Macaca fascicularis: one gene and its partners. The protein of the gene in region 6 interacts with the protein of the main gene of each other region in a pairwise test. Links are inferred from orthologs where the notes say so. Each region holds a gene or a part of one and is shown on either strand. Other genes may lie near its edges. The genes, in order: ZSCAN9, FXR2, RNPS1, SNIP1, U2AF2 and SRPK2.

What was found.
Region 1: the proteins of SRPK2 (region 6) and ZSCAN9 interact in binary tests that used the Homo sapiens proteins (3 or more experiments, as listed by UniProt). The two-hybrid records come from large-scale screens. The link is inferred for Macaca fascicularis from reciprocal best matches to the Homo sapiens genes SRPK2 and ZSCAN9.
Region 2: the proteins of SRPK2 (region 6) and FXR2 interact in binary tests that used the Homo sapiens proteins (3 or more experiments, as listed by UniProt). The link is inferred for Macaca fascicularis from reciprocal best matches to the Homo sapiens genes SRPK2 and FXR2.
Region 3: the proteins of SRPK2 (region 6) and RNPS1 interact in binary tests that used the Homo sapiens proteins (3 or more experiments, as listed by UniProt). The link is inferred for Macaca fascicularis from reciprocal best matches to the Homo sapiens genes SRPK2 and RNPS1.
Region 4: the proteins of SRPK2 (region 6) and SNIP1 interact in binary tests that used the Homo sapiens proteins (3 or more experiments, as listed by UniProt). The link is inferred for Macaca fascicularis from reciprocal best matches to the Homo sapiens genes SRPK2 and SNIP1.
Region 5: the proteins of SRPK2 (region 6) and U2AF2 interact in binary tests that used the Homo sapiens proteins (3 or more experiments, as listed by UniProt). The link is inferred for Macaca fascicularis from reciprocal best matches to the Homo sapiens genes SRPK2 and U2AF2.

Annotation. Positions count from the first base shown.
Region 1 is NC_088378.1:144,973,194-144,977,212, reverse strand, and holds the start of ZSCAN9 (zinc finger and SCAN domain-containing protein 9), read left to right. Parts: upstream 1-1,219; 5' UTR 1,220-1,360; coding exon 1,361-1,933; intron 1,934-2,119; coding exon 2,120-2,252; intron 2,253-2,427; coding exon of another isoform or gene 2,428-2,543; exon of another isoform or gene 2,544-3,629; intron 3,630-4,019. UniProt on the Homo sapiens protein: May be involved in transcriptional regulation.
Region 2 is NC_088390.1:7,640,283-7,643,213, reverse strand, and holds the end of FXR2 (RNA-binding protein FXR2), read left to right. Parts: exon of another isoform or gene 1-37; coding exon 38-260; exon of another isoform or gene 261-480; coding exon 481-678; exon of another isoform or gene 679-767; coding exon 768-968; exon of another isoform or gene 969-1,062; coding exon 1,063-1,158; exon of another isoform or gene 1,159-1,220; intron 1,221-1,309; coding exon 1,310-1,410; intron 1,411-1,735; coding exon 1,736-1,831; 3' UTR 1,832-2,431; downstream 2,432-2,931. UniProt on the Homo sapiens protein: mRNA-binding protein that acts as a regulator of mRNAs translation and/or stability, and which is required for adult hippocampal neurogenesis. Specifically binds to AU-rich elements (AREs) in the 3'-UTR of target mRNAs.
Region 3 is NC_088394.1:3,040,702-3,044,905, reverse strand, and holds the start of RNPS1 (RNA-binding protein with serine-rich domain 1), read left to right. Parts: upstream 1-1,404; 5' UTR 1,405-1,462; coding exon of another isoform or gene 1,463-1,464; 5' UTR 1,465-2,656; exon of another isoform or gene 2,657-3,394; intron 3,395-4,204. UniProt on the Homo sapiens protein: Part of pre- and post-splicing multiprotein mRNP complexes. Auxiliary component of the splicing-dependent multiprotein exon junction complex (EJC) deposited at splice junction on mRNAs.
Region 4 is NC_088375.1:197,383,772-197,387,271, reverse strand, and holds part of SNIP1 (smad nuclear-interacting protein 1), read right to left. Parts: intron 1,803-3,500; exon of another isoform or gene 1,795-1,802; intron 112-1,794; coding exon 1-111. UniProt on the Homo sapiens protein: Required for pre-mRNA splicing as component of the spliceosome. As a component of the minor spliceosome, involved in the splicing of U12-type introns in pre-mRNAs. Down-regulates NF-kappa-B signaling by competing with RELA for CREBBP/EP300 binding.
Region 5 is NC_088393.1:63,627,017-63,630,649, reverse strand, and holds the end of U2AF2 (splicing factor U2AF 65 kDa subunit), read right to left. Parts: intron 1,274-3,633; coding exon 1,139-1,273; 3' UTR 501-1,138; downstream 1-500. UniProt on the Homo sapiens protein: Plays a role in pre-mRNA splicing and 3'-end processing. By recruiting PRPF19 and the PRP19C/Prp19 complex/NTC/Nineteen complex to the RNA polymerase II C-terminal domain (CTD), and thereby pre-mRNA, may couple transcription to splicing.
Region 6 is NC_088377.1:146,659,102-146,662,601, forward strand, and holds part of SRPK2 (SRSF protein kinase 2), read right to left. Parts: intron 572-3,500; coding exon 406-571; intron 1-405. UniProt on the Homo sapiens protein: Serine/arginine-rich protein-specific kinase which specifically phosphorylates its substrates at serine residues located in regions rich in arginine/serine dipeptides, known as RS domains and is involved in the phosphorylation of SR splicing factors and the regulation of splicing.

The DNA of each region.
Region 1 (4,019 bases), on a different chromosome or scaffold from region 6:
GTCACCTCGGTGAATAACGACAACAGGCTTAGGACTCAGGGAAAGAAACCCCCGGGAGAGGAAGTTAAGGACAGTTAAGACTTTGGCAGCCTTCAAGATGGAGAGCCCGTATACCCTCTTACCTCTAGATTCTAAAAGCAAATTAAGGGGCGTTGAATGGACTGGTTTTAAAGTACAGAATGTGACAGTTCCCGATTTCCTTAGTTCTTTGATTCTCAAACCTTATAATACATACAAATCACTGAGGAGCCCGTTAAAGGTGCATATTCTGGGGCTCCCTGTACTTCTCTCCACCTCCCAATTCAGATTCCCCAGATGTCTGCCACAGAGCCTGTCAAGCTGCAGTTAAGCTGCTGCGCTGTGCTTTCTGACATTTTGGAGACCCACATTTTGGGAACACCCCCGGGGTTTCAGGCGCTGCCCGGGTCTCTGGAGAAAACTTCTCCCTTGGGCTTCTTTGGCTTCTTAGGCTTCTTAGGATTGTCCTCACAAAGAAGTTGACCTTGGGCAATCTACCTAACTTTCCCTGGCTTCCATTTCTTATCTAATGAAATAATTATTACAATAAAACCTCAGTGGGTAATTGTGAGGATGAAATATGGTCTTGTATCTGAAAGCATATTGTAGACTTGTGCAATGTTGACTGTTACTCTTAAGTAGCAGCAGGGCGGTGTGGAAAGCTCCAGGGCTTGGAATCCACCCAAGCCTTTCTTTCTGTAAATTTAGTGTAAATAATACTAACTTTAAGTGGTTGTTTTGAAGATTAATTTAAGAAAACTGAAGTAAATAGTAAAGTAAATGTTGGTTCATTCATTTAGTCGACAGTAATAGTATTTCCATTTATTCTTTCTCTAATTTGATGTTTATACAGTGAGCTCAAACTTTTTATTCAGACTTTCTGAGTGATCTGTGCAGTCCCTAATTCATGGGCTGTTTTCCTCCACGAACTCTGTAAAGTATTATTGCTATTTCTTTTTCACATAAAGAAACAAAGACTGAAAGAAAATTTAAAAACTTGGCACAAGGTCACACAATTAGTAAATGTTAGGATCAGAATAAAACCTAGGTCTGGGTCAGGTGTGGTGGCTGACACCTGTAATCCCAGCACTTTGGGAAGCCAAGGTGGGAGGATCGCTTAAACCCAGGAGTTTGAGGTTGCAGTGAGCTGTGATTATGCCACTGCACTCTAGCCTGGGAAACAGAGTGAAATTCCCTGTTTTTAAAAAAGAAAGAAAGAAAGAAAACCCATATCTGGGTAACTTAAAAGCCTATACTCTTTGCACATTATGAATATATATATATTTCCATTATTTCCATCCTTTGGTCACCAAATCACTTTCAGAGGAGAGCTTTAGGGCCTATGATAAATGCTTATATTATCAGTTTCTGTCATCAGTTATTGTCATTTTTCCATATAAATAATTTATTTTTACTGCTTAGGCAGGCGCCTCCAAGGTTTGTCTTGAAGCATAGCTGCAGTTGGAGGGTACCTTTTAAGTTGTTCAAGGTCAAGATGAATACAAACTCAAAGGAGGTTTTATCCCTGGGTGTTCAAGTTCCCCAGGCATGGGAAGAACTTCTGACAATGAAAGTGGAAGCAAAAAGTCACCTCCAAAGGCAGGAATCCAGATTGAAACGCAATAATCCACTGGCAAGGGAAATCTTCCGAAGGCACTTTCGACAGCTGTGCTACCAAGAGACCCCTGGACCAAGGGAGGCTCTTACCCGACTCCAGGAACTTTGCTACCAGTGGTTGAGGCCACAAGTGAGCACAAAGGAGCAGATTTTGGATCTGCTGGTGCTGGAGCAGTTTCTGTCCATCCTGCCCAAGGAGCTCCAGGACTGGGTGAGGGAACACTGTCCAGAGAGTGGAGAAGAGGCTGTGATTTTGCTGGAGGATCTGGAGAGAGAGCTCGATGAACCACAACACGAGGTAGGAAGGGAGATTTGCTAGAGAAAAAAGTGTATTTTGGCATGCCAAGAATCCTTGTATCCTCTGCTTTGTGTCTCCTTGACATTGGTGACAAAATACTCTCCTTCCTGTTTCCTTCTTTTTTGGAAGTGTTTATTTCAGACAGTTAATTTCTTCAAAAGTCAAATCTTGTCTTTTTGTCTCCAGATGGTAACCCACAGACACAGACAAGAAGTCCTCTCTAAAGAGATGGTGCCTCTAGCAGAGCAGACACCACTGAGCCTTCAGTCCCAGCCCACACGTGACTCTGCTCTGAAGTGCCATTCTATTGGAGAGACAGGTGAGGGACAGCATTTATTTGATGTTGAACGAATCTCACCTGGTCAAGCAAAAACAAACAATAAACCCAGAGCTGGGAAAACAGGAGATCCAAAGACTCCTTACCAGATAGCAGCAATGTTCAGTGCTTCTTAGACCCTAGTGTGCTCATCTTTGACCCTTCTCCCTGTGTGCAGACTTCTCTCTGAGTACCATCCTGGAAGCTCTCTGGAGTTCTGATGCATGGTACATGAGGAAGGCTTTCAGGGATCGCTGTGGAGCACAGCTTCAGAGAATGGACTTCAAGGTTTGACAGACAGGTTCAGATCCTGGCATCGCCTCATGGAAGCTGCTTGTATTGGGCAGATTACTTAACCACTTGACCTCAGATCCCTCATCTACAAAATGGGGTTGATAATAGCTTTGGTTTAGTCTACTTGCGCTGCCTTAAGAGAATACCACAGACTGGTTGTCTTTAACAGAAATTTATTTTCTCACATTTCTGAAGGCTAGTAGTCCAAGATCAAGATGCTATCAGGTTTGGTTTCTGGTGAGGCCTCTTTCTGGCTTATAGATGGCCATCTTCTTGCTGTATCCTCACATGGCCTTTCTTTGTGTGCATACAGAGAGAGAGGAAGCTCTCTCATCTTCTTATAAGGACAGATACCATTCCTACCAGATAGAGCCCTACCTTATAACCTCATTTAACTTTTAGTACCTCCCTCAAGACCCTATCTTCAACTATAATCATATTGAGGGTTAGGACCTCAACATATGTGAGGGAATACAATTTAGTCCATAACCAGTATGTACCTCAGAAAGTCATTGTGAGCATCAAATACAAACAATTTATGAAAAGCACCTGGCATGCATTATGCTTAATACGTGGTCGCTATTGCCACAAATCACCAGTGCCACCCTTGCTGATTTGGGTTCATAGTTGCAGTAGAAAGATATGAGATATGCTTAGTAAGTGGCAGACTGTATGGGAGAATCCAGTGAAATCAGACTTTACCATTTCCTTCTCTGTAATCTTCTGAATGGTGGCAGTGGCCACCCTTGTGGATATAGATCTGAGCACTTGGGACTGAATCAGCTGCTTCCCCATTCTAGCCCTCCCTGCAGGAATTATCTCCAGCTTGTCTGATTTCCCACACATAAAATCATACCCTCTTACTGACTTTTTGTTAATCTTCTGACAATCAATCTGTAGCAAGGTTCTGCTGTTTTCAGTTTCATACTACCCCCATATGCATCAAAGCTGCAAATTCCCTTGCCTCTTTGTCTCTAGCTTCTGTTTATTTCATTTACCCTAGCAATTATGGATTTCTGTTACATGGAACACATCTCTCGATTTAAATTAAAGTGTATGTGTTGAATAAATTCTGTGCAGACCTTCCTATAGCTCCCATGACTTTATCAGATTAAAATTGCTTCTGATATCATTTTTCCTCTTTATGAACATCTTTCCAGTCAATTTCTTTTTTTTTTTTTTTTTTGAGACGGAGTCTCACGCTGTCGCCCAGGCTGGAATGCAGTGGCCGGATGTCAGCTCACTGCAAGCTCCGCCTCGCCGGTTTACGCCATTCTCCTGCCTCAGCCTCCCGAGTAGCTGGGACTATAGACGCCCGCCACCTCGCCTGGCTAGTTTTTTGTATTTTTTTGTAGAGACGGGGTTTCACCATGTTAGCCAGGGTCGTCTCGATCTCCTGACCTCGTGATCCGGCCGTCTCGGCCTCCCATTGCTAGGATTACAGGCTTGAGCCACCGCGCCCGGCCTCCAGTCAAT
Region 2 (2,931 bases), on a different chromosome or scaffold from region 6:
CTCCTTTCGCTTCTTCTTCCGTCTTTTACCCAACCAGGAGGTAGAGCAGCTTCGCTTGGAGAGGTTGCAAATTGATGAGCAGCTTCGGCAGATTGGGCTGGGCTTTCGCCCTCCTGGGAGTGGGCGGGGCAGCGGTGGCAGTGACAAGGCTGGATATAGCACCGATGAGAGCTCCTCCTCCTCCCTCCATGCGACTCGAACCTATGGGGGCAGCTATGGGGGCCGTGGCCGTGGCCGGAGGACAGGCGGTCCTGCCTATGGTGAGACAGCTTGGGAACAGGAGGCAGGGAGTGGCAGGGCTTGTGGGTAGAGGCAGAGGTCTGGATGGAAGTTTGGGGAAATCTGGGATGGAGATGATAAAGAAGTGATTGATTGGCTGGGGGACTTGTGAGTGAGAGGGAGAATTCTTCCATTTTGGGGAATGTGATGGATCCTGAGGTAGGACGAATGGCCGTGAATAAATCCCACTGTGTTCTTCAGGCCCCAGCTCAGATGTGTCTACAGCTTCAGAGACTGAGTCAGAGAAGAGAGAGGAACCCAACCGAGCTGGGCCTGGCGACAGGGATCCCCCAACCCGAGGGGAAGAAAGCCGGAGGCGGCCGATTGGGGGCCGGGGTAGGGGACCCCCACCTGCCCCCCGGCCCACTTCGAGATATAATTCTTCATCTATTAGCTCAGGTACCAGACAGCTGGGTTCATGAATATGGGCCAAAACAAAAGATGATGGGCACCTGAATGCCACCTTCTCCTCTTCTTCCTCTGACCAGTGCTGAAGGATCCAGACAGTAATCCCTACAGCCTATTGGACACATCTGAACCAGAGCCCCCGGTTGATTCAGAACCTGGGGAACCCCCCCCAGCAAGTGCCAGGCGCCGCCGCTCCCGCCGCCGCCGCACTGATGAAGACAGGACCGTCATGGATGGAGGCCTGGAATCAGATGGGCCCAACATGACAGAGAATGGCCTGGGTGAGGGTGTGCCTGGAGTCTGGAAAGTTAGACATGGGTAGGAATCGAGGGTGAGAGGTTAGATGTGTGACTCTGGTTTTTTCCTGCCCTACAGAAGATGAATCAAGACCTCAACGTCGTAATCGCAGCCGCCGCCGCCGTAACCGTGGTAATCGGACTGATGGTTCTATCAGTGGAGACCGCCAGCCAGGTCAGCCAACTCTGGACACCAGAATCCTTCCTCAGAGCTGAGAGAATGGGATGCTTCCTACCCTGTGAAAATCAGGGGTTCGGGTTCAGTGGGTGTCTTGGGCTGGCTACCAGAATTCCATCTGAAAGTCTTAATCTCCTGCCTTCCCCAGTGACTGTGGCTGACTATATCTCACGAGCAGAGTCTCAGAGCCGCCAGCGGCCACCCCTGGAACGCACTAAACCCTCAGAGGACTCTCTTTCAGGACAGAAGGTAGGCAGGCAAGATGTGATTTACCCATCCCTTTTTTGTTGTTACTCTGGGGCAGAGGGCACAACAAATTTCACAAAGAAATCTCTTACTGAATTGCAGAGGCAGCGGTGTCTGGTGGAGTTTAGACTAGTGTAAACTTTGAATAGGATAGAGAGGAAAGTGTGGTTCACATTTTGTGGATCCCAAGTAAGAGATACTGGATCATGGGGGAACCAACCTCTGGATCACCAAATGCCAGGAGGGCTTGGATGGTAGAAATGTCTCCCACCTGAATTTCTACTCACCGCTTCTTGCTTGTCTGTTTTCTTTTCCACTTTCCCCTCAGGGTGACTCTGTCAGCAAGCTTCCTAAGGGCCCCTCGGAGAATGGGGAGCTCTCCGCCCCCTTGGAGTTGGGTAGTATGGTGAATGGGGTTTCATAAAACCTCCAGCCTGCACCCCTCCCTTCTCCATCTCGCTTGCTGCCCAACACCATGGCCCTCACAGGCCCAACTGACCTGCGCTGGAGCTGCTCTTATCTAGGGGGGAGGGGGGTGGCACAGCAGCTTGGGTACCCCCCAACCTCCAGGAGCTAGTGGAGGGGTGTGTAACAGGGTCATACCCCCTCCCTCTTGTCCACCCTACCCCCAGGGTAAGGGGAGCCTCTCTCCTTCCCCATCAGACTGGATGTGCCTTTATCCTCTAATGCCCCAATCTCTCTCTGAACACCCCCATTCTCCACCTGTTGGTGGGGGGTGCTCCTTGACCCACCCAGATTTGACCGTTCAGGGGGCCTCCCCTGCTATCCCTCCTCCCATCCTGTACCCCCCATTTCTGGGGCCTCATCACTGTGGAAGACGGGGATAGTAAGAGATAAGTGGGTGGGAGGCACGGGGAAGGTTTTGGAGTAGAACCAGGGGTGTGTATGAAGGGGGGTGACAAGGTCCCCCGGGGGAGGGGACCAACCTTGTCTGGTGGATGAGAAGGCGTATTTATTTTTCACTGTACAGTATTTAAAAAGAGAATAAAAAAATCCAAATGGCTCTCTGGCTCCTGTGCCGTTGTCCCCAGTTTGGTCCCTTTGTTTCTCTAGGACTGACCTGCCCTGACCCCCCGCTCCTGTTTTCTGTTCCTCCACACTTGACTTCTCATTGTCTCTTGTCCCAAAGATGGTCTTACTTCTGGGAATTCCTGACATTCCTAAACTCCCCAGGCCCAGGTTCTCCCTCCTGGTCCAGAGGAGGGGGGCTTGTGCCTTGTTGCTTCTCCCCTCCCCCAAGTTTGCTGATGGAGGGAGTTGGGCCACTCCTATACCCTGAGTCACGGCACAGGCTAGGCAGGGCTGCTCAGAGCTGGAGCTGTTCCTGCTAGAAGCTGAGAGCCAAGGCAGGCTGCTTAATCCGATTACCTGAGGCCTGGGGCTTGGGCTGGGCCGTTGGGCAGAATGAGGAGCAGGGTTCCCTGACGGCAGCCTCTGGAGCCTGGGGCCCGGCCTTCTTGGTGGTGTTCTGATCTGGCTCCAGGCTTTTCATCCGGCATGCAC
Region 3 (4,204 bases), on a different chromosome or scaffold from region 6:
CAGTCAATCCCTCCACAAATAATCAAAGGGCAACGACTACCTAACAGGCACAGCAGTGAACAAAACCCGGCCGGGGGCGGTGGTTCACGCCTGTAAAGTAATCCCAGCACTTTGGGAGGCCAAGGCGAACCTAGGAGCGAGCACTTTTGGAGCGAGCCTGAAAGCCTAGGAGCGGATCACGAGGTCAGAAGTTCGCGACCAGTCTGGCCAACATAGTGAAACCCAGTCTCTAATAAAAATACAAAAAATTAGCCGAGTGTAGTAGTGTGTGCCTGTAATCCCAGCTACTCGGGAGGCGGAGGCAGGAGAACCGCTTGAACCCGGGAGGCGGAGGTTGCAGTGAGCCGAGATCGCACCGCTGCACTTCAGCCTGGGCAACAGTGCGAGACTCTGTCAAAAAAAAAAAATTCCGCCGCGTCAGTGTGGGGCGTTGACGCGGAGCCTCCTGCCTGGGCCCCTACAGCGTCACCCCCTCCTCTGTGCCTGCCAGAGGCGCCACCTCTGGACTCTCCCAGAGTCGGACCCTGGTCGACAGTGTTCCCTGCTCGGACCCTGCACCGGCCGTTAGATGAAGCCTCGGCGCTGCGCCGTTCACACGCTCCGTGCTGCCTCCACTGAGAATTTGGCGCGGGCCTGCGAGCCTGTGCCCCGGCCTCCCTTCCCTGCTTCCAGCGAACCTCGGCGTCTGCTGTTCCCCCGCCGGGCGCGCCCTTCCACTCTAGTCTCAGCGGCAGTGTCACCTGCCCGGAGACGCCCCCCGTTGCACCCCATCTCCCATCCTCAAGCTCGTTGCTCTTCCTGCCCGCACAGCCCGCCTGCAGCGCCCACCCTGGAGGTCCGCCTGCGCGGAGGCCGCGTCCACGAGAGCACCCCAAACGCCACCAGTGGGTTTTGACCGCAGGAACGCAAGTCCTGCCCCAGCCCGTCTCTCCGAGCTACTTCCGCCCTGCAGGCCCCCACGCCCCGCCACGCAAGGCCGCAAAGGCTGCGCACCCCTCCTGTGCGACCACCCTGCCGCCCTCAGCACAGCCGGGCCTGGAGCCCCGCCTCCACCGCCGGCGACAGGGGCCAGAATCGGCCCGGGCGGGTCCAGGGAGCCCGCGCAAGGAAAGGGGCGGGGCACGGCCGCGATAACACCCTCCGCTCCGGACGACGAGCATCGGTTATCGCGCGGCCCTCCCAGGCTCAGCAGGCTACCCATGTGCTCGCTCCAGCAAGCGTGCAGCCAGTCCGGTCAGTCCCAGGGACTTTACCGGCGAGGAGACACCCTGAACGTCCCCAACGCGGCTACCACAAACTGCCTTGACTGTCTAACACTTCCCCGCCGGCGCCCATTGGGCCAGGCGTTTACGTCATCGCTACGCGCCGGACGGCGGCGTCTTCCCGCTCCTTGACTCTGACGTCAGAGCGGCGCCGGCCTCGGAGGCTGAGGAAAGCAGGAGGAGGTGGTGGCGGCGGGAAGATGTAAGTTGGGGCGGAATCCGACCGCATCCGTGTTTCGGGGGCTGCCCGTCAGGCCCGGCAGGACGCATCGTGAAGCCGGTCCACTTCTCAGCCCCGCAGTGCGGCGGTGGCCTGGCAGCGCGGTGCGGGCTCCGAGAAGAAAGAGTGTGGCCCGGGGCGGGCGGAGTGGGAGGTGTCGAGGCCGTGGCCCGGAAGTGATCGGGGCCGCCGCGGACGGAAGGGCGCCTCTGCTTCGTCCGCTCGGCGGTGGCCCAGCCAGGCCCGCGGGACTCGGAGCAGCGGTGAGCGCGGCCTCCGTTCTTGGGGCCCTCCCGCCGGGCCGGAGACCCAAGCCCCCAACGCCAGGCGCTGCCCTGGAAGCGCTTGCGGCCCGGCGCCTGGACGGGGAAGTTGTGAGTGAACGCGGACGGGGAGCGGCGAGGTCGGCGTGTCGGGCCGGTGCCGGCGGGCGCGGAGTTTCTTTGTGGGATGCGGTGGAAGGTCGGCCGATCCATCCTTCGGAGTCATTAATTCAAACGTGTACTCCGCGAACGTTTCCCGGACTCCCGTGTGCAATTGTCGGCGCTAGGCCGTGGGGATACGGCCCACTATGGACCGAACACGGTGTCCGAGCTCAGTTTGATGGGTTATCCCAGAGGGGTGGATACGGGAAGGTTAAGGTTGATGGAGGAGAAACGTGGAGTAGGCTTTTTGTCTTGATTTCTCATGAACTGTGCCTGAAATGTACTCTTAAATGGGGAAGGTGCTCTGAAGATTTATGCCGAAACGCCCTCTCCTCGAGATTTAACTAATTGTTCTCTCCTCTCTCTGGCTGTTGGACGCGCACCTTTCCGGAGGATGGGGGAGGTAACCGAGGTCCTGAGCCGGTACCTGAACTTGGGTGAACAGAGAACCTCAACTTTTGCTTTCTAGCACTCGACCGCACCCAGCGAGCCGTCCGCTTACTCAGTGGTTCTTAGTGTTTGGACTGCTTGAGAATAACTGGTGGTGTTTGATTCCACAAAGTACATTTGGGCAGATCTTTAAGTCTGGGGGGGTGGGGCTGAAATCTGCGGGTGTGACCTCCACTCTAGGTCTGTGCTGTCCAGTGAAGTAGCCATTGGCCACATGTGGCTACTAAGCATGTGAAATACAGCTCATCAAAACTGAAATGTTAAAACACATACCAGTTTTAGAAGACTATGAAAAAAAAGTAAACTTTTATTAGTAGATTTTTATGTTGATTATATGTTGGAAAGATAATATTTTGGATGTGTCAAGTGTTAAAAATTTCACCCATTTTTGTGATGTGGCTACTAAGGAATTTCAGGTGATGCTTGTGGCTCCTCACACTGTTTCTATTGGACATTTCTGCTGCAGGTGATCCTAAGGCAGATGAGTGCAGGAACCCTGCTGAGAGTTCAGAAATTACGTGTGACTTTGGAGACAAATGTCTGGGGGAGGGAGGAGCCTTTACAAATCTTGCTCCTAACATTATTGAGCTTTTCATTAATGCCCTGGGTAACTATAAAGTTGGAATTGTAATTGTCACCATATTGATAAGAAACTTGAGAAAGGTTAAGTGACTTGTCGAAAATTACACCGTAAAACCTCAAATCAAACCCAGGCCCTCTGGTTGCAGACTCTGAATTATACTCTGAATGATACTCACTGACTGTCCGAGGACACCAACAGTGTCGAGGCACTATCTGCTGGGTGTCTGCAGAACCTTACTATTCTAAAGCAAAACATGATACCCCCGGACAAGAGCAGCAGAGGTGGTGTTCGGCCCTCCTTGGCTCATTTGACTGTTTAAAGCCAGGTGCTTTTCTTTCTTGGGTCAGAACACGTTTTCAGCAGCATTTTGAAGCACCCCTGGCAGGTACTGCACAGGGAAACCAGGACCCCATTGGTGTGCTGTGTCCTCCTTACCAACTGGCTCTTGGAGAAGGTGAGACAGAAGTAGCTGAGACTCACATCCTGAGAGCTGCACTTAACAACTCCTGCAGCTTGTGCAGAACTTTACTGGAAATACTGAAGGCGTCCCTGGAAAATAGGGCCCATAACTAATTAGTTTGCTTTTGAGTAATGAGTAACCGCTATTTGAACACATTCTGCAGTCCAGGCATTTTGCTAAACTCTTACATGGCAGGCAGTCTCTCATGCAATTTCAGTGCCTACTTTTTTTTCATCTTATTTTTGAAAAATTTTTAAAGCACAGGAACGTCAAATTATACAATTAATACCCACATAAAGACTACTTAAGGGCCAGGTCTGGTGGCTCACGCCTGTAATCCCAGCACTTTGGGAGGCCAAGGTTGGCAGATGACAAGGTCAGGAGTTGGAGACCAGCCTGGTCAATATGGTGAAACCCTGTCTCTACTAAAAATACAAAAATTAGCCAGGCTTGATGGCAAGCACCTGTAGTCCCAGCTACTCAGGAGGCTGACGCAGAAGAAACGCTTGAACCCAGGAGGTGGAGGTTGCAGTGAGCCAAGATCGTGCCACTGCACTCCAGCCTGGGTGACAGAGCAAGTCTCCATCTCAAAAAAAAACAAAACAAAACTCAGAGGTTAAGAGTCTGTAAGTTATATTTCTGCTGTATTTGCTAGATGGTTTTTATCAATCTTAGTTTTTCTTTCAATCTTAGTTTTTCTCAATCTTAGTTTTTCTTTCAAAGTAAATTGCAGACTTGCATGTATTTTCCCCTACACTCAATATGCATATTATTAAAGTACAGTGCAATTACTGCTTTTTAAAA
Region 4 (3,500 bases), on a different chromosome or scaffold from region 6:
ATGGCCCCGGTGTCTGTACCGGTCACTTTTCCTAGCTCTCCTGTGTTCCTGTTCTGATGGTTCCCTGTGCTGCCGATCCTCCCGTCCTCTCCGGGGATGATCCTCACGCTCCTGAAATTCAAACAGATTCTGTAATTTTAACACAGTGCACAATCTAAAGACAGCCCAAATCTTGTTCTTTTTGAATGAGGTATATTCAAAAGGTCTTTTGTAATTTGGAGTTTGGCATTTAGAACAACATTTCCCACAGAAATAAGATTATGTCTGGTGGTTATGTTCCCTTGCAAGGCCACAAAAATGATATCCCATGCTGCTATTCAACCATAGCCCTAATAGCACAAGCCCAGGTCCAGAGCCCTAAAAACAAGAGACTATTTAGTCCAGAAAGGAGAAAGAAAAATAATTTCCTCCTTTTCACAACAAAGGTAACTATGGGAAAACTTACAGGGAAGAATATACAGAAAATAGAACTAAGAGTTAAGTAGTCAGGTACAAGATATGTAAAGAAAGAAGCTAGCTTTCTCTCATGCCAAAAATGAAAATATAACAGTTTTTAAATCCTACTTCCACAGTTAAAAAAAAATTCAATACCTAGGAATAAACTTAAGAAACATGAAAGACATATAAGAAGAAATCTGTAAAAATTCATTAAAATAGAGGCTTTTTAAAGATCTGAAGAAATGGAGAAACATACCATGATTTCTTGAAAAAGACAGCATTGAAAATCAGCCTAGGCCAGGCACGGTGGCTCATGCCTATAATCCCAGCACTTTGGGAGGCCGAGACAGGCGGATCACCTGAGGTCAGGAGTTCCAGATCAGCCTGACCAACATGGTGAAACTCCATCTCTTCTAAAAATACAAAATTAGCCGGCTGTGGTGGCACATGCCTGTAATCCCAGCTACTCAGGAGGCTGAGGCAGGAGAATCGCTCGAACCTGGGAGGCAGAGGTTGCAGTAAGCCGAGATCGCGCCATTGCACTCCAGCCTGGGCAACAAGAGTGAAACTCCTTCTCAAAAAAAAGAAAAGAAGAAAAAAAATCAGCCTGGTAGAAAATGTCTGCAACACAAACCAGACAGTAGTCCTAGGGGGATACATTCTAAGTATGGTGGACGGCTGAAACCACGGATAGTACTGAACCTGACTGCCATCAAACGTAACACATTTCTGTTCACATCTTCCACCCATAAATTTAATGCCTTTTCCATCTTAACTAAGCACTTATGAACTGTGGCTGTAACTTTTACAGTATGAAATACAACAGCAAAACTAGCATGAATTTCTTTTTCCTTCCCCACAATTTCACAATAGAAGATTCATTCTTACTATTGATCTTAGCAACTTCAATATAGGATTTGAAAAGTTTTTTTTAAGTTGAGAACTTTCATCTTTTCGTTTAGGAAGCACTTTACAGCTTCTCTTTAGCCTTCCTAATTGCCAAAATCACTGCTATTGCACTTTGGGGCCACTACTAAATAAAATAAAGGTACTTGAATCCAAGCACTGCAAACTGCAACAGTTATCTGATAACCAGGATGACAACTAAGTGACGGACAGGCAGGTAGCGCATACAGCACAGATACACCAGACAAAGGAAGGATTCATGTTCCTGGTGGGACAGCACAAGTTTACACCAAATGACTCAGGATAGTGACCAATTTAAACTTTATGAGTTGTTTTTTTCTGGAGTTTTCCATTTAATATTTTCAGATGTAGAAAGTGAAACCACAGATAAGGGGGGACTACTGTATATTACTATATCAATAAGAAACAATTCAACAGAGAAACTGACAAATGGCCAGGTGCCAGTGGCTCACACTTGTAATCCCAGCACTTTGGGAGGCCAAGGCAATGGATCGCTTGAGCCCAGGAGTTTGAGACTAGCCTGGGCAACATGGTGAAACCCCGTCTCTACTAAAAATACACAAATCAGCTGGGCACAGTGGTGCATGCCTGTAGTTCCAGTTCCTCAGAAGGCTAAGGTGGGAGGATTGCTTGAACCTAGGAGGCAGAGGTTGCAGTGAGCTGAGATTCCACCACTGTACTCCAGCCTGGATGACAGAGCAAGACTCTGTCTCAAAAACAAAAAAGGAAAGAAAAATGAACAATTTTCAGAAGAAATAAATGTCCAAGGGCCGAGCACAGTGGGTGACGCCTGTAATCCCAGCACTTTGGGAAGCCACGGCAGGAGAATTGCTTAAGCTCAGGAGTTTAGACCAGCGTGAGCAACACGGCAAAACCCCACTTCTACAAAAAATACAAAAATCAGCCAGGCATGACAGCATGCACCTGTAATCTAAAATTACAGCTATTCTAGAATTTGAGGTGGGAGGATCACTTGAGCCCAGGAGGTCGAGGCTGAAGTGAGCTATGATCATACCACTGCAGTCCAGCCTGGGCTACAGAGACCCTGTCTCAAAAAAAAAAAAAAAAAAAAAGAAAAAAGAAATACATGTCCAATAAATGCATGAAGATATGCTTAACCTAATAACCAATGCATCAAATTCTAAAAGAAACATGAATTTTCTCTCCTTGAATTAGTAAAATTAAAAAGATCAATAATATCTACAGTCAAAAAGGAAGGCACAGGAAAATGGGTATTTTCAGTCACTGCTGGTACATGTATAAACTAGCATAGCCTATTTAGGTCAATTTGACAGTATTTAATCAAAATCTCATCAACCACTAATGCCACTTATAGAAATCAATCCTACAGAAATACTAGCAGAAACGCACAAACACATACATATCAATGTGTTTACTGTAATTTCATAATAAAAAAACTGGAAACAACTTAATGTCCTGCAACGGTAGAATGGTTAAATTATTATCTATTCATACAAAGGAATACTTCACAGCCATGAAAAAGAAAGAGATCATGACATAGAAAGATATCTAATATATTGTTAAATGAGAGAGGAAAAAAGAGAAGGGGCAAGTTTCACAATAAGACCAGATATTTCTATATATAGACTTGGCAGATGAAATACTTGGAGAGATGTTCCCACCTAAATTTAACTAGATACTTATTAAATTTTTAATGTATTGTTGGGCTGTCAATAAGCAAGGCAAAATCTCCAATGAGAAAAAAATCTCCAAAGTGGGGTAAGAAAAAAAAACAGATTTGAGCTCTAAGCATGGGCTCAAATACTAAAGAATACTAGACACACACAAGGAAATGGAAACAAGCCACTGAGCATGAGAGGCAGCAGAAACAAGTCTTATAGGGTGGGCATGGTGGCTCACGCCTGTAATCCCAGCACTTTGGGAGAGCAAGGGGGGCAGATCACTTGAGGTCGGTCAGGAGTTCGAGCCCAGCCTGGCCAACATTGTGAAACCCCGTCTCTACTAAAAATACAAAAATTAGCCAGGTGTGGTAGTGCATGCCTGTAATCCCAGCTACTTGGGAGGCTGAGGCAGGAGAATCGCTTGAACCCAGGAAGTGAAGGTTGCAGTGAGCAGAGATGGCGCCACTGCATTGTAGCCTGAACGACAAAGCA
Region 5 (3,633 bases), on a different chromosome or scaffold from region 6:
GCGACGGACCGGAAGCGGAAATTGCTGCGTTCCCCGCCCTCCCGTGCCGCGCCCCGCCCTGGCGGGAGTCGCTTCCGCAGCCAAGCCAACCTGGAAGGCATCACTTCCGGCGCGCTGGCCCCCGTTGCTAGGCGCCTTACGTCATTTCCACCCGCTGCCGTGGGGGCTCCGCGGGGTGCTCAGCGGGCGCCGGGGGTCCCCTCAAGCTGGCTTGGCGGCAACCGCGGAGCTCCTGGCGCACCCACGCCGCGCCCGCCCCGGCCCGCTCGGCCACCCTCCCTCCTGTCGGCGGGGTGGGAGAGCACTCGGGAACCTCACGCCCCCCGGGACTATGCCTGTGCCGACCCCGAGGAGCGCGCCGCGCAAGCAGGGAAGGCCCCGAGGGTGCCGGCGCCGGCACCAGGGCGTCCCCATCAGGGGCCCACAGTTTGCAAGGGAACCGCCACCCGAGCCCAGAACCGAGGAAGAGGGTCGGACACACTGGACACACAGCCGCTCGATAAAGTAAAATACAACAAAATGTTTAATGAGCAAATTCGTCTTAGCAAATATGAAACTGCCACAGAGAGTAGGAGAGGGGCAGGGGCCACGGGGCTGGGCGCAGGTCGGGGGAGACTAAAGAGGAAAAATCAACTACGTAAGAAACCCAGGAGGGGACCAGAGAGGACCACAGGCCGAAGGAACAGAGCTGTGGTCCTGGGAAGGGAGAGGGCAGGGCACTGAGGGCCGGACAACAAAATTCAGAATAGTTTGGCCATAAAATATAAACACGCTATGTTCCTACCGTGGGGAAGGGGAGGAGAAAGGGGGTCTAAGGGAGGAGAGGCTGTTTTGGGAGGGGCTGGGGTCCTACCCCGCCCTGCTGTGCACCCTGTCCCCATCCCAACCCCTTCCCTCTGTGTCTGTGTGGGTGCGTGTTGTCTGTGTGGGCTGTGTGCGCACTTCCCCAGTCCCCTCCCTGCCCTAACCCCCCAACCCCCGCCCCCCACCCTTAATTGCTGCCATTCCAGTTGCTGCCGGCTGTCGTGTGTCTGCGGCTGTCACTCCTCTGCCCATCGTCTTCAGAGGGGGATAAGGGGGGGGCGGGAGTGGGGAGAAGCCCCCAGCCAGCCCTGCCCCCACCCTCCCCCAGCCGCCTCTACCAGAAGTCCCGGCGGTGATAAGAGTCGGGGTCACAGTATTTTGTGACAACCACTCTGTTGGCGAACTTGCGGCCCGTCAGGCCCTGCATGGCTTTCTGGCAGTCAAACACAGAGGTGAACTCCACAAAGATCTGTGGGGAAAGGAGAGGCAGGTTTGTGAACAAGGCTCAAGCCTAGCAGCCAGCCAGCCAGCACCCACCCAACCCCGGAACTGAAGGCAGAAGGGACAGGGAGGAGGGGGCTTCGCCACAGGCGTCAGAAAGGAACCCTTAGTGCAGGTTCGGTGAAGTTTACCCAAACATCCTCCAGGATCAAAAAAAAAAAAAGCAAAGACACACCATAGGCATGGAGGAGGAGAAAGAACAGAGAGACACGCTGGCGAGTCAGCAGAGCCATAGAGGGCAGGCCTAGACGAGCTCACCGTGGGGAGGGGTCCCTTGCGCTAAGCGTCTACTCCACACGAGCCACCATGGTGGGCGCTCCCAGAACCACCCCAACAGCCATGTTCTCCCAACAATAAATGGGCTAAGGGAAGCTCAGAAATTAGGATTCAAACTCAGGTTGACTAAAATTTAAAAACTTGAATCTTGATCTCTTCCAGCTTCTAACCTTACTTAAACCAATTTAGAGGAAAATGGAGGGAGGGAAGAATACAATGAGCCTACATGAACACTGAAAATCCTATACAGCAGATGAACTTCTTTTTTTTTTTTTTTTTTTTTTGAGACGGAGTCTCTCTGTGTCTTCCAGGCTGGAGTGCAGTGGCCGGATCTCAGCTCACTGCAAGCTCCGCCTCCCGGGTTTACGCCATTCTCCTGCCTCAGCCTCCCAAGTAGCTGGGACTACAGGCGCCCGCCACCGCGCCTGGCTAGTTTTTTGTATTTTTAGTAGAGACGGGGTTTCACCATGTTAACCAGGATAGTCTCGATCTCCTGACCTCGTGATCCACCCGCCTCGGCCTCCCAAAGTACTGGGATTACAGGCTTGAGCCACCGCGCCCGGCCAAACTTATTTCTTCAACAAATAAAAGAGCTTGCAAAAAAAAAAAAAAAAAAAAAAGGTGGGGAGAGAGGTACAAAGGATAAATTATAGAAACTTTTGTTACCAAATTCAAGGTAGGGACCTTGATCTGGATCCTTACTGAAACAAACTATAAAAAATATTCTTGGCTGGGCACAGTGGCTCACGCCTGTAATCCCAGTACTTTGAGAGGCTGAGGCAGGGGGATCACCTGAGGTCAACAATTCAAGACCAGCCTGGCCAACATGGCGAAACCCCATCTCTACCGAAAATAAAAAAATTAGCCGGGCATGATGGGGGGTGCCTGTCCCAGCTACTACTCTTTAACCCGGGAGATGGAGGATGCAGTGAGCCAAGATTGTGCCACTGCACTCCAGCTTGGGCAACAGAGTGAGACTCCATATCAAAAAAAGAAGAAAAATTCTTGGCCGGGCACGCTGGCTCACGTCTGTAATCCCAGCACTTTGAGAGACCAAGACCAGTGGATCACGAGGTCAGCAGATCGAGACCATCCTGGCTAACACAGTGAAACCCCATCTCTACTGAAAATACAAAAAAAAAAAAAAGCCGGGCGTGGTGGCGGTTGCCTGTAGTCCCAGCTACTCCGGAGGCTGAGGCAGCAGAATGGCGTGAACCCAGGAGGCGGAGCTTGCAGTGAGTCAGAGATCGCGCCACTGCACTCCAGCCTGGGCTACAGAGCGAGGCTCCGTCTCAAAAAATAAAATAAAAAAATTCTTGAGACAGAAAAATTTGAACATGGAATAGGCACTAAAGAATTTTGCTAATCTAATCATGCTATTGTGGTTTTGTTAAAAGAACAATTTTTTAAGGTTATCTGCTTAGAGCAATGGTTGTCAAATGGAGGAGGGGTTGTCCCCAGGGAACACGGAGCAATGTTTGGAGATGCTTTTGGGTGTCTCAAAGCGGGGAGCAGTGCTCCTGCATCTGGTGGGTGGAGGGTGGGGATACATCTCAATATCCTACAACGCACAGCGCAGGCCCCCCCAGAGAAGTTATCTGACCCAAATGTTAGTTGAGAAATTACAGAAACATACTTAATGATCTCAGATGAAATATCTCTGATATGCTTTAAAATCAGCAAAGAAAAAAGAGGAGGGGGGAGAAATAAGCTGAATATGAAAACTAAGAATGACAAAATATTGGTAACTTGAAGCCAGATGAAGGAACACCAAAATATTAGCACATATACTATGATAAACACTCATCACTATCATAGTCTCTACTTTCAGGTACATTTGAAAAGACATGTAACAAAAAATTTAAGAAGAAAACAGGAATACAATGCAGTAATTTCTTTTTTTTCTGAGACCGAGTCTTGCTCTGTCACCCAGGCTGGGAGTGCAGTGGCGCAATCTTGGCTCACTGCAACCTCCGCCTCCCGGGTTCAAGTAATTCTCCTGCCTCAGCCTCCTGAGTAGCTGGGATTACAGGCATGCGCCACCACACCTGG
Region 6 (3,500 bases):
ACTCAGATTGACATAGCTATGCTAAATGGACAACAGGAATTACTGTAACAAAACTGAAGCTAGAAAAATATTCTGATGACTAAAGGTCAGCTACAGGAAAGCTGTTACTATGTTCTCCTCTGCAGAGAAGTGGGCAACAGAAAAAAATGTTCAAATATAGATGAAGCAGCAACTACAAATTTAAATGGCCTTTTAAAGGGGGACAAAAGTAAATAATTTTAACATTAAAATATAATGTAGCTGGGGTATTTTCCATTTCAAGAAAAGGGTGCAGTTATTTCCAGCAATTAAACTTTTCCAAAAAGTTCCTTATATGTAACATTTGATTCAGATACCTTCAACAACTGCAACTTTGCAAGCTCACAACGCCCCCAAACTGAAATGAAGCTAGCTCAGCTCCCTCACCTGCAGACCCTGAAGGAGGAGGAGCACCTGCTTTCTGCCACTCAGTGGCCTCAGCTGCCATTCTTCTCACATAGGCATCATCCACACACATCAAGATGTTTTCTGGCTTTATGTCAGTATGAATGATCTTGCACTTACTGTGTAGATAATCTAACCCTTGAAGGACCTGGATATAGTAAAATCAAGAGAGAAGATAAGCTATTAATACTTCATTATATAACTTTTATTTATTTGAAAAACATGTAATACGATGACAAGGTACAAAGTTTGATAAACACAAAAGGATATTTAGTAAAAATCTCCCTCCCATGACTACCTGCATAGGAATCCAGCTCTCCTTTCTATAAGCAACAAATATGTATAATTTCAGAGATTATTTATGCTCATGGAAGCAAATGCATCTACATACAGTTGAACCTTGAACAACATGGGTTCACTTATACCCATATTTTTTCTTCCACCTCTGCCACCTGAGACAGCAAGACCAACCCCTCAGCCTACTCAATGCGAAGATGATGAGGATGAAGACCTTTATGATGATCTACTGAATATGATCTATCTACTTAATGAATAGTAAGTATATTTTATCTTCCTTATGATTGTCTTAACATTTTCTTTTCTCTAGCTTACTTTATTGTAAGAATATGCTATATAACACGTTAATCAACTGGTCATGTCATCAGTAAGGATTTTGATCAACAGTATGCCAGTAGTCAAGTCAGAAGCCAGATCCGGATTTTCAACTCCATTGGAGGGGGTTGGTCAGTACCTCTAACCCTTGTGCTGTTCAAGCGTCAACTATACATACTTCAATAACAACTATATTCACGTATCATACAGTTGACCCCTTTAGGTATAGAATTCAATGGGTTTTAGATGTGCGACTATCACTACTATTTATTTTTTAAATTTTTATTTATTTTTTAATTTTTAATTTTTTTTATTTTTTTGAGACAGAGTCTCGCTCTGTCACCCAGGCTGGAGTGCAGTGCGCGATCTCAGCTCACTGCAACCGCTGCCTCCCAGACTCAAGCAATTCTCCTGCCTCAGCCTCCCAAGGAGCTGGGATTACAGGCATGTACCATCACGCCTGGCTAATTTTTTTGTATTTTTAGTAGAGACGGGGTTTCACCATATTGGCCAGGCTGGTCTCGAACTCCTGAGCTTTGTGATCCACCTGCCTTGACCTCCCAAAGTGCTGGGATTACAGGCGTGAGCCACCGCCCCTGGCAACTATCACCACTATTTAAATGACAACACTTTCATTGCTCCAAAAAGAAACAACATATTCATTAGCATTCACTCCCCATATCCCTCCTACCCCATCTAACCCTTAGCAACCACTCATCTACTTGCTGATTCTGAACATTTCCTATAAATGGAATCATATAAAGTATTTTTTGTAACTGGCATCATGTTTTCAAGTTTGACTCTTGTGCTGAATGTATTAGTACTTCACTTATTTTTATTGGCAAATAGTATTCCACTGTATGGAGATAAAATATTTTGCTTATTCCTTCACTTCATGAACATTTGGGTTATTTTCACTTTAGGGGCTATAAAAATAATACTGCCATACTGCTATTCACACTTGCGTATACATTTTTGTGTGAACATACTTTTTTTTTGAGGGGAGGTATATACCTAGGAGTTACCATAATTAGCTCATATCGTGCCTCTATATTTAGCTTTTTGATAAACTGCTAAAGTGTTTTCCACAGTGGCTGCATCATTTTACATTCCTATCACCAGTGTATGAGGGTTCCAATTCTTCACCCTGAACAACACTATCTTTTTTACTTTATCCACCCAAGTGGATATGCAGTATCTCATTACAGTTTTGATCTATATTTCCCTGATGGCTAATGACGTCCATACATTTTTAACACTGCAAGAGAAGGGGGGCTTGATTTAAATAGAAAATAGCCTTAGTATCTAGACAATGCTACAGCATCATACTAAAAGAAAGTGATGAACCAAGATATTCATATTTATCATATTAAAACAATCAATCAAAAACTTACAGTGTCAGTGACCTGAATACAAGGTCAATGTTTTTCTATAATTATTTCCACTGGAGAATAATTTTTTCAATTATTTCCATAAACAAAATTTATTTTTACAAAACAGATCACGTTCTCATATGAGCATTAGAAATTCCAAATGTTAAGCAAATATTACATCAATCACCATTCAAATAATGAATCGAATGGGCATTTTGTTCACAAGAGACAGGAAGTGTTATATGTTTCACATCATCCAACACTGAAATATTCCCAGTTTAATCGACAGTCTGTTATCAGGAAGGCATCTGATCAACAGCAGGCTATTAGTAGTTAGCCTACTGTTAGTAGAAGTTTAAAGTAGCATTATGTAAGTGAGAGGGAACAAAGATTTTACAAGGAAAATGAAAACAGGAGTATCTGTCTCTTAAAAAGGATCAAAATGCCTACAAACATTTAAAACAACTTTACCTTAGGGAGTATTTTTATATATATTCACTGAATGTGCATCGGCTGAGGTCCTATCACATGCCATTATTCCAGGTGTTTGATATATAAAAGCTCCCAGGCTTCATGTTGCTTACAGTCCTCATATCCTCACAGAGCTTACCAATTCAGGACAGGAAATGAGTATGAGCGGTGGGGGAATTGGCCAAAAAAAAAACCAAGATGAATCATGGGCATGGCAAATATTATTTAATAAGATATTGACAAGTTCCTGGTAAGCACCAGTAAAGTAGATAAAACTAGGATAAGATTTTAAGACTTTTGATTTTTTGCCTTAGAATATTTACTGTTTTGGACAATACTGCAATTAGGATATGTTTAAATTACATTTAAAATGTCAAGGCTGTGCTCGGCCTTGCCTTGTAATCCCAGCACTTCGGGAGGCCGAGGCAGGCAGATCGCTTGAGGCCAGGAGTTCAAGACCAGCCCGGCAAATATGGTGAAACCCTGTCTCTACTAAAAACACAAAAAAACTGCACAGGCATAGTGGCACAGGCATGGTAGCACACGCCTGTAATCCCAGCTATGCAGGAGGCTGAGGCACAAGGCAGAGGTCACAGCGAGCTGACATCATGGCACTGCACT